3 linked regions of the Nothobranchius furzeri genome follow. The protein of the gene in region 1 purifies or fractionates together with the protein of each later gene. This does not show direct contact. Links are inferred from orthologs where the notes say so. Each region holds a gene or a part of one and is shown in the gene's direction. Other genes may lie near its edges. The genes, in order: lrch3, dyrk1ab and sugt1.

Evidence for each region.
Region 2: the proteins of lrch3 (region 1) and dyrk1ab purify together in Homo sapiens (affinity purification with mass spectrometry; 3 studies listed by BioGRID and IntAct, counting the BioPlex papers as one, with this or other methods). This does not show direct contact. The link is inferred for Nothobranchius furzeri from reciprocal best matches to the Homo sapiens genes LRCH3 and DYRK1A.
Region 3: the proteins of lrch3 (region 1) and sugt1 purify together in Homo sapiens (co-immunoprecipitation; 3 studies listed by BioGRID and IntAct, counting the BioPlex papers as one, with this or other methods). This does not show direct contact. The link is inferred for Nothobranchius furzeri from reciprocal best matches to the Homo sapiens genes LRCH3 and SUGT1.

What each region holds. Positions count from the first base shown.
Region 1 is NC_091753.1:55,769,466-55,773,140, forward strand, and holds the end of lrch3 (DISP complex protein LRCH3), read left to right. Parts: intron 1-1,273; coding exon 1,274-1,471; 3' UTR 1,472-3,057; downstream 3,058-3,675. UniProt on the Homo sapiens protein: As part of the DISP complex, may regulate the association of septins with actin and thereby regulate the actin cytoskeleton.
Region 2 is NC_091753.1:50,171,201-50,173,749, forward strand, and holds part of dyrk1ab (dual-specificity tyrosine-(Y)-phosphorylation regulated kinase 1A, b), read left to right. Parts: intron 1-253; coding exon 254-450; intron 451-684; coding exon 685-777; intron 778-1,126; coding exon 1,127-1,315; intron 1,316-1,505; coding exon 1,506-1,653; intron 1,654-1,752; coding exon 1,753-2,039; intron 2,040-2,183; coding exon 2,184-2,330; intron 2,331-2,549. UniProt on the Homo sapiens protein: Dual-specificity kinase which possesses both serine/threonine and tyrosine kinase activities. Exhibits a substrate preference for proline at position P+1 and arginine at position P-3.
Region 3 is NC_091751.1:64,340,204-64,343,862, reverse strand, and holds part of sugt1 (protein SGT1 homolog), read left to right. Parts: intron 1-1,854; coding exon 1,855-1,908; intron 1,909-3,124; coding exon 3,125-3,153; intron 3,154-3,317; coding exon 3,318-3,340; intron 3,341-3,516; coding exon 3,517-3,613; intron 3,614-3,659. UniProt on the Homo sapiens protein: May play a role in ubiquitination and subsequent proteasomal degradation of target proteins.

The sequences.
Region 1 (3,675 bases):
TTGAGTGTTTAATATTTTAATTCTCTTTTATAATTAAATATTTATTTTTCTCAATATATAACAATATTTGATAAATATCACGATAAATAACATACAACTGTTTGTATTTTAACATCGTCCTTGTAGTTTTATGAGCTGATAATTAAACTGAAGCAAACATCTTTACTGTGAACTAAATTTACTGTGTATCTTCATTCCTTTTGCCGTCCTTTTTCATTTGATTTTTCCTACTGGGAAGTTAGAATTTCCGAGGAGAAAGCGAACGCACCATTAGCTGATAACAAAGGTGGCAATGGAAGCTAATTTATCAAGCTAACTTTATCTTAAACAGTTTATTTAGCTGCTGGAGCAGATTAAAACGATGATGCCTCACACTTAGATCGTTGTCACTGGTTTCATCTTCACCCAATTACCCGTCACATTTAGTGAAGTGGACCCAAGCGTTAGCGTGCGTTCTTTCTACCATGCTGCTCTGTTTACAACTCGCTCGCAGCGACTGACGACATAACGCTCTTGAGCATGCGCAGCTGTCTAGGCAAGTTCTCGTTATGAAGGACGGGTACCGAAACGAGGCGCCGTTTCAAATGACGTGAATCGGTGCTCAGTCGGTACTATGGAATTCGGTCGATACCTTAAAAAGTACTGAATTCAGTACCCAACGCTAATTGTTACCTTCTGTTTTCCTCCTTGCATTGTATTAGTAATGGCTTTAATTGTTTTGATGGGATGTAATTTCCTGTCATGTTTGTTAAATTAATTTATTTGAGTAAATCGGCTTTCAAAAATCTCAGATTATCAGAATATTACGAAAATGTTCAATATTCTAGACTCAAAGTGTAACACTCTGATCAGCTAATGGATCCTAAACGCCTGTAAAGGTTCTTGAGCCTTTAGATGGTCTCTCAGTCTGAGCCAGATTTCTGACATGAATGACATTTTTCAGCAGATTCTCATTCTTCCAGTTTTACTTGAAAATTGTGAATAATGTAAACCTTTATTTTCATTTAAGTGAATTGAAATGAAATGAAATCACAATTTCTGCCACAAACATCTCACTTGAAACTTTTCCTAAAACTGTTCAGCCCTATTCTGAAGTTTGGATTCAGTCTCCGATGGTGGAAAGTGATGAGATGACCTGCTGAAGCTCCTCCCACTGAACTAACCTGTTTTTCTTCTCTTTCATCATTTCATTTTTTTTTCTTCTTTTTTTTTTTTTTTTTTTTGCTCCGTCCATGTTTTATCCTTTATTGTGTCCATGTCCCTCCGACCTCAGGACCGTCTCTGCTCAGTGGGAGATGTATTGGGGGGGAAAGGAGGCGGGCTTTATGGGACTGTAGAGGTTTTGCTGTCCATGGCTCCGCCTCCTCTTAGCTCTTCTCTTCAGGTCCAGTTGGCTGGTTTTGCCCTCTTTTACCTGTCTGTCATGTCTGCGCTGTGTGCCATCTATGTCCACCTGGCGCCACAAGTCTGAGACGACCCACCAACCTCCTAATGGATGCTTCAGGTTAGCGGGCCTGACTCAGACTCCCCTGGTACCGAGTCTCCGCCTACATGGACGGATGATGTCCTTCAGTAAACTGGATCCTAAACAGCCATAAGTTCCTTGTCCTCCTGGGATTGGGGGGCACGCTTGACCCAGATGGGGTGGAGGGTTTTTTGACCGGTTCTTTGGGGTTCTGCAGTTTTGCTCAGTTAGACCCAAGCTGACCACACCCTTTTGGACTAGAACCGGGTCGTTTTGTTCTGCTGTACTTGATCGTGATGTTTCCTTACAGCAGCTGGTGCCATAAACAGAACCACATATCGCTGCTGACAAGAACTCTATGGGTACCGGGATCAGAACCTCTGTGGAGTTGGGTCTGACAGTTCTCTTTAGCCCAGGATGATGAACTGACCTCAGGTCAGACCCAAACGGACCGGTACTTTAGAGGATTCCATCTAAACCTTTACTGCTCCTAAAATAGTGAGAATCTGTCAGAATCCTGAGACTCTTTAGCGGCGCACACAAACAGAACCAGAGGTCCGTTAGGATAGCCTCAGCACGTCGGCCATGTTTGTTTCTGGAAGCACAAACTGCTGATTTTCTTATTTTTTCCAGCTGAACTTTTGAATACTTTTTTTTAATATTTTGATTTGATTTTTTGAAAGTGTGACGTGAGAATGTAGATTTAAGAACCGAAACCCAACAAGTCGGGCTGGATGACCAGAGGAGACGAGTGGCTTCATACCAGAACCGGTTCTAGGGGTTATGCTGGTAGGAGTTAATCTGGATTGGTGTTTGTTCACGTAGATCTGGGCTGGGACCGCACTTCTGGATCAGAATGTAACGGGCCGGTTCCCTCTGGGCCTGGCTCAAGTGCTGTATGTGATCTCTGGGCTCCGTCACCTAAAGTGTTACCTGCCTGCTGTGGCTCCGCCCACTTGTGCCTTATGTGTCATGTGTTTTTTACTGGTTATATGGGCCCAGAACCAGAACCTCCACAACCTTTTTCCTGTTTTCGCTTGTGGTCTTCCTGGCTGGTACCAGCAGGACCAGAACTCTGATCTGTGCCAATTAACTAGAGTCTGGTTCTGCTTGTTTAAATTGAGTTCTTGAATGTAATCAGGGTTCTGTTCAAGTTCTGGTCCAGCTATAGATCCAAGGATTGTAATCAGAGTACTGTGATCTTTGTATCGTTGGTACTGGCCCGTATTTGTTGGCTGATTTTTACCTAACTGGGTCCGACACTGGCCCGGGCAAGATGTGGACCTGACTGACTGGGTGACCCATTTTGTACCGACTCGATGTTCTGCTGCTCTTCTTGTTGTAAACATGCAGGATGTTTTCCAAACCAAAAACTGAAGAGAAACCTTTAAAAGTTCTGGTTCCTAACCAAGTCAAGTTGCTTTGGTGAAAATGGATGGATCTGAGGTTCTGGTGGGCCTGAACAGGATCTGGTTTCAGCTGTGAACTAGAAACCCTAGAATGGAGGAGGGAGGACTGAGTTCTGATGATTTTTCTGTGTCGGTTCGGTTCTGCTGGACCGTTTTCCTCTTTGAATAAACTCAGTGAAAACACCTGGACTCACTTTGTCTCTCTCCAGCATCTGGGACTCACCTGAGCAGGTTGTGTTCTGCTGCCCAGAGAGAACCTCCTGTGGGTTCTGGACTCTGCAGACCCAGAACACACTGAGTTCACAGACATCAGAGGCTGAGACTGGACTTCAGCTCAGCCACATGGTTTAGGTGTCTGATCACAATCGCAGTTCTCCAGAACCGGTCAGAACCAGACCTTTGGTATCATTCAAAGCATCCTTTTCCTACTGAAGCAGCTGGTTTTACTGGACCTCAATTCCCATCAGCCCCTCTGGCAGCTCCACTCATCTCTCCATTTTTTCTTTCCTTTCTTCCTTTGGTTGGTTTATCTTTCTGTTGCCATGGTTACAGTGGTGTTTTGTTCCTTTAAGTTGCCATCCTTTGACCCACCTTTCTGTTGTCCACCCCCCCACCCCCTCGCTCTGTGTCTTCTGTGGTGTCTGTTCATGCAGAGTAAGTTGTGTCTTCCTCTTCACATCCTGGAAGAGCGAGGGCTCCCCCAGGTGGCTGGAACCGTCAGCGCGCTGCTCGATCTGGCCCCGCCCAGACACTCCGTTGGCATGACGACTGCAGCAGCCGGTCCTTCTGTCACCATTTAGA
Region 2 (2,549 bases), about 5.6 Mb from region 1:
AATTGCGCATTTTTGTAAAGGTGTAAAGGGTTTTTGTTGCTTTTTTGAAATAGTAAAAATGAGAAGTTTATATTAAATCTGTACAGTCTGAATGACACTTATTTTAACTGTAATGCAAAAAATGTTTAGCATGAAAATGAGAATATAACATACCATTTTTTTATAAACTTTTTCTTTCTTAATGTTATTTGTCAGTTTATATATTGGGGATTGAAGTGAAAGTACATTCCCTAACATTGTTCTTTTCTCTTAGGAGGAGAGACTTCAGCATGCAAACCTTCGTCCGTCCGGCTTGCGCCCTCTTTTTCTTTACACACTGCTGGTCTTCAGATGGCTGCTCCAATGCCCCATACGCACCAGCAGTACAGTGACCGCCACCAGCCAAGCACTGACCAATCTGTTACAGTCTTACCGTACAGCGACCAGACACCACAGCTCACTGCCAATCAGGTATACGAACCCCACCACATAGCTCCTCAAGGTTTTACAGTTTTGGGTCCAATATCAAAGCCTACTTCCCTTTTTCTACTGTCACTAGGCAGAGCAGCTACATGTCAAATGTCACTTTCAGTTTAATCACGTCTTGTTAACCATCATTACTTGCAATGATTCAAGAGGATGCTGTTTCTTATGAAATTGCCGTGTGTTTTTTTGTTCATGAATACTTTACCTGTGACACTCCAGAGGCACATGCCCCAGTGCTTTCGTGACCCAACTTCAGCTCCCCTGAGGAAGCTCTCCATCGACCTTATCAAAACATACAAACACATCAATGAGGTTTGTTTTTTTAGTTTGTTTTGATGCATTTAAATCTAAACTAATTATTTACTTTAGCAGCTGAAAGAGTTAACCAGCTATACTTTTAATCATATTGGATATGCTTACAATTAAAGTTACTGCAGCTTTTTTTTTAAATGTCTTTTAGATTTTTACTTTTGCTGAGACGAAACAAAATGCAACATGTTTTAATTTACTGCATTTTTATTGAATAAAACAAAGTCATGTTGGTGAGATCATGATAAAATAATCCATTAGAAGATTCAACTTAACAAAGATCATTGTGTGTTTCATTAGCTCGTCAAAGACTTGTGTGTGTGGTTATGGGATGTAATGTGTTAACTTACAGGTGTATTATGCAAAAAAGAAGCGACGGCACCAACAGGGTCAGGGTGAAGACTCCAGTCATAAAAAGGAGAGGAAAGTGTTCAATGATGGCTATGACGATGATAACTATGACTACATCGTCAAGAATGGGGAGAAATGGATGGACCGCTATGAAATTGATTCCTTGATAGGAAAAGGATCGTTTGGACAGGTGCTTCACTATCAGTTCCACTCAAACGTTTATTTGATTCATAAGAATACAATGTTCTTTCTAAAAGTATTAACCAGCATTTCTGTACATTTTCTTTTGTGATTATTGACCCTAAACGTTAATATCAAAACTAATCCGTAAAAACTTCATGCTGAGCAAACTGTAAACTGTTTGTCGTTGGCGTGTTTAGGTTGTGAAAGCGTATGACCGAGTCGAGCAGGAATGGGTTGCCATTAAGATCATCAAGAACAAGAAAGCTTTCCTCAATCAAGCCCAGATAGAAGTGCGCCTCTTGGAGTTGATGAACAAACATGATACCGAGATGAAATACTACATTGGTAATCCACTCTTGAAATTAGCATCTAATCTGATCAGAAAAATAAAAGGCCAGGGGGTTTGTTACTGACTAACATGGACATAATTTGCTTTTTCTGCAGTTCATTTAAAGCGACACTTCATGTTTCGGAACCACCTCTGCCTCGTGTTCGAGATGCTGTCGTATAACTTATACGACCTGCTCCGAAATACCAACTTCCGCGGAGTCTCGCTCAATCTCACCCGGAAGTTTGCCCAGCAGCTATGCACGGCGCTACTCTTCCTGGCCACGCCTGAGCTCAGCATCATCCACTGTGACCTGAAGCCCGAGAACATCCTCCTCTGTAACCCAAAGAGGAGTGCCATCAAAATAGTGGACTTTGGCAGTTCATGCCAACTGGGACAAAGGGTAATTAGCAGCAGTATTTCTCATCAGCTATGAGTCAGTTGGGTGCAATAAAGTCAATAAGTAACTGTTTGTGGGTTATTTATTTATTTTTTTTACGTTTTTTTATTTTTTTTAATTTGTCCCTTATGTGTGTTTTGTGTATAGATATACCAGTATATCCAGAGTCGCTTCTACCGTTCCCCAGAAGTGCTGCTGGGAATGCCCTATGACCTGGCCATCGATATGTGGTCCTTGGGTTGCATCTTGGTGGAGATGCACACTGGAGAGCCTCTCTTTAGTGGAGCCAATGAGGTATAACAATCTGAAACATTAGCTAGGTGGTCATATTTCAGTGAAGGATGACAAATGCTTTCATCTTGTGTCTGCATTTTAAATCTGATTGTGTAACCATTGGAGATAGAAAAGAAGACTTCATAACCTTAAAACATTCTGAACCATTTGGTTTTTTAGATGATGTATTTTACAGCATTTATTGTGTATAAAGAAGTAACACGATTTGCTCACCTCCTC
Region 3 (3,659 bases), on another chromosome or scaffold:
GAGCCATTTCTGTAATCGTGCTATAAACACAAACACGGTCACAGCACTCCCACCCCTCCCATTGGCTATCATCCCTAGGCCTTGCCCCCCTGATATGGAAACCCAAATCGCCAGAGGAAACAAGATAGCGCTAAACACCAGTCTCCATTTTCTAAGTCCAAACATCTTTTGTTGCCCGTGACTTCAAATGGTGCTTTTCTTTTTGCGACTCTGGTAGTTTGTCCTAAAGTAGAAGTGGTAGCAGCCGGCTGGTTCTCCTTCTCTGATGTTAATGAGCAGAGAAGCTCTCACACCAGCGGTGTTCTGTTGCTAAATATGTGAGTGTGTAATGTGTGAGGACCCAGGGAAGTGCGATGGTTCAGTGAGACAGACAACCGGATCATCCAATCGTTGCTTTCAGACTGAGCCGTGTTATTGGTTGAAGTTTTTTGACAAATGCAAGAAAACCAATTCACTTAATTATTTTCTTTTTTTTTTATCGCCACAAAAAACAAGAACACTAACAATTTTGTCAGTTTGAACAATTTCTTAATATGTTTTTGCTTTAGTGCCACAGGGACAACTCAAACAGTCAACAACAATGCACATGATGTGTACCTATAATTTGTTACATTTAAAAAAATCTGAACTGTCATGTTTCATTACAATTTGCACCAATCTTACAAAATGTACAGGTTTTGTACCTTGAGCCACCAAATTCTGACTCCCACCATTAGACATGGTACTCCATTATGTTGGAAAAGTTACTGTTCATCACCAAACTGTTGTTGGATGGTTGGAGGAGTTCCTCAGGGATGGTGCGTAGGTACCATTTCTTATTCATGGATGTGTTCTGAGGCTAAACTGTGACCCGAGTCCAGAAACCCAATACATGTAGAGCAGCAGAAGCTCAGGAGGTTGTCCAGTAGGGATGTGAATCTTGGAGTAACTCACAGTTTGATTCAATTCCGATTCTTGGGGTGCCGATTCGATTCTCGATTCTCAATTTAAATCGATTCACAATCAGTATTAACAAAGAGTGTCAGCTCCAGGATGAACTACTTTGTTGTACAAGTTAGTTAAAGCTATGGGGCATTTTTAGTTGACTTTAAACTGGTCATGCTCCAAAAATGCAAATTTACGATGTAAACTAAAGTGATTCTAAAACTGTAAACAGAAACAATCTTTTGACCAAAAGGCAACATTTATTTTTGCTTCCCTTGTAAAATATAACAAATCTGTAGTTACCTAACAGTAGCTTTGAAAGTAATACGGTCAAATACTTTTCAAGTATGTGTAGAAACAAGTTACATGAGTAATCCTGAGTACTCATTTATCAACTTAGAAAATAAATATGAGAAAATCTCAAATTTCTGAGTATGGAAAAAATGACATTCAAGTGCCCTCTTATCAGCAGATTCAAACAAATCATCTCAATTTATGGGACCACAAACGTAAACGGAGTACTGACTCTCCTAACAAACATCAAAAAAGTGCTTCTCAGACCTGTAACATGCCAAATATTTGAGTTCTTGGAATCGAATCGGAACCTTTATAAATAAGAATCCCGATTCGGACTTGAATCGGTTTTTTTCAGCACCTCTATTGTCCAGTGATGGAAAGGTTGCAGGATCAATCCCAGCTCTCTGCAGGGAATTCTGCTTTTGTGTCCTTGAGCAATACACTTCACTCTCATTGCCTGCTGGTGGTGATCAGAGGGGATTACCTCTTACAGACTTTAAAGCCATAACTGTAATCTAGGGAACATCTCTGATAGCGACACATTACTGATCCAGTTGTGTGTTGTAGATAAATTTTAACTTCCCTAACTAAAACAGGAAAGCCACCTAAGCAGCATATTTATTCTTTTTGCAGTTTCTGACAAATCATTTGAAGTCTGGATCAAGCGGTGTGAGGAGATGATGGGGAGTAAGTAGCTCACTTCTTTCTTTCTGCATTAGTCTTCGAGTTGGCCCACATGCGATTTGAATCTGTTAGGTTTTATCTCCGATGATACACACATCTTTGGTGTTCGGGTGAATAAAACAAGATGGAAAACTTTCTGATTCATCAGTTGTTCGTAAACAAGAATGTGTTTGGCAGTTTTAGGTCGAACAAAGTTGAGAACTACTTCCACTAACTTAGTTGTATGTTTTCTTTAATTATTCAAGTTGAAGTTAAATGGCACAGTCAGGGAGCAGATCAGCCAGTCTGATCAAAACCAAGAGCACGCACACACACATCCGTGGATATTCAGAGCTGCTTAGTCCAATAAAAGATGCATGCCATGTCTTGGTGGCATGTGTTTGTGTTTGCCGGTGCTGCTTCGGTCCTCTGGATTATCAGCGAGTAAACAGGAACATGAGGTTTGACAAACACGCTTCGCACCCGCGTGCACACACACTCCCGAGAGCAGTGTGATTCATCAGCGTTAACGCTGCTGATGTTTGAAAACCCCAATGAGACAAACCCCCCTAAAAGCCTGTTCTCTCACTACACACACACACACACACACACACACACACACACACACACACACACACACACACACACACACACACACACACACACACACACACACACACACACACACACACACACACACACACACACACACACACACACACACACACACACACACACCCACGCACGCACGCACGCACACACACACACACCCCTACTTGCTCATGCACATGCCACGAGCAGTGTCTACTTCAGGCGACAGCGTGTTTACCACCAAGCAACACATATGCCACCTGGTTATTCCATCACGTGGCAGCTCATGCGTCTGACTTCACACGGAGACCAACAACTTCCTCCTCGTACCCCCAGCCCCCCATTTCAAACGCGACCTCATTAAGACAACATTAACACGCCTCCTATCACTTCATCTCTCTCTGAGCCCGCTCGATCAAATGAAGGCCGTGAATAATGGATGAAAGCACGCTGGTAAACGGCGCTCAGGCTTGCTTGGGCTCACTGGGCTTTTAGTGGGCGTGGATGGACCAGTAAACAAACTGGTGGCGAAGGCTTGGCTCTTTGCAGTGAATCTATTCTGATGATTGAGTTTTATCAGGCGGGTTAAATGGATTTAACTTTACCGCACCTGATATTTTTCTCCTCTGTTCCTCTCTCTGTCCCACAGAGCAGACACAAACCAGCAGCGCCGACATGGTGGGTTTCTTTGTGAGGCCACTTGGGGGCATTGTTGCTCTCAGTATCAGATTAGATCTGCACACGAAGCCTTATCAAGCTGCTTTTTAATGGTTCCTTCATTTGTTTTGTTTCACATGATTTTGCCTCTGTCATCCCCTCCCTGTGGCTCAATGACCCTGCAGACGCCAGCCGCTCCACCTGTTAAGTAAGTCCACAAAAACCCAACGGGTCTCCTCTAAAAGAGGTTGATGATGCATCGTAAATATCCAGTTTTGAAAATGTTTATTTTCGCGGATGCAAACCAGATTAATATTACAGATAAATCTGAATAAAATGATCTGTTTTATGTGGTATTGAGGCTTTTAAATCTCTTTCTTTCAGGCATGACTGGTATCAAACAGAGTCTCAAGTCATCGTCACGGTTATGGCAAAAAACGTTCCCAAGGAGGGAGTGCGTGTCAACTTTGCAGAAAAAGAGGTATGAAGCCACCCTGGAATGCAGCAGAGGTGGAGACAGCCTGTGT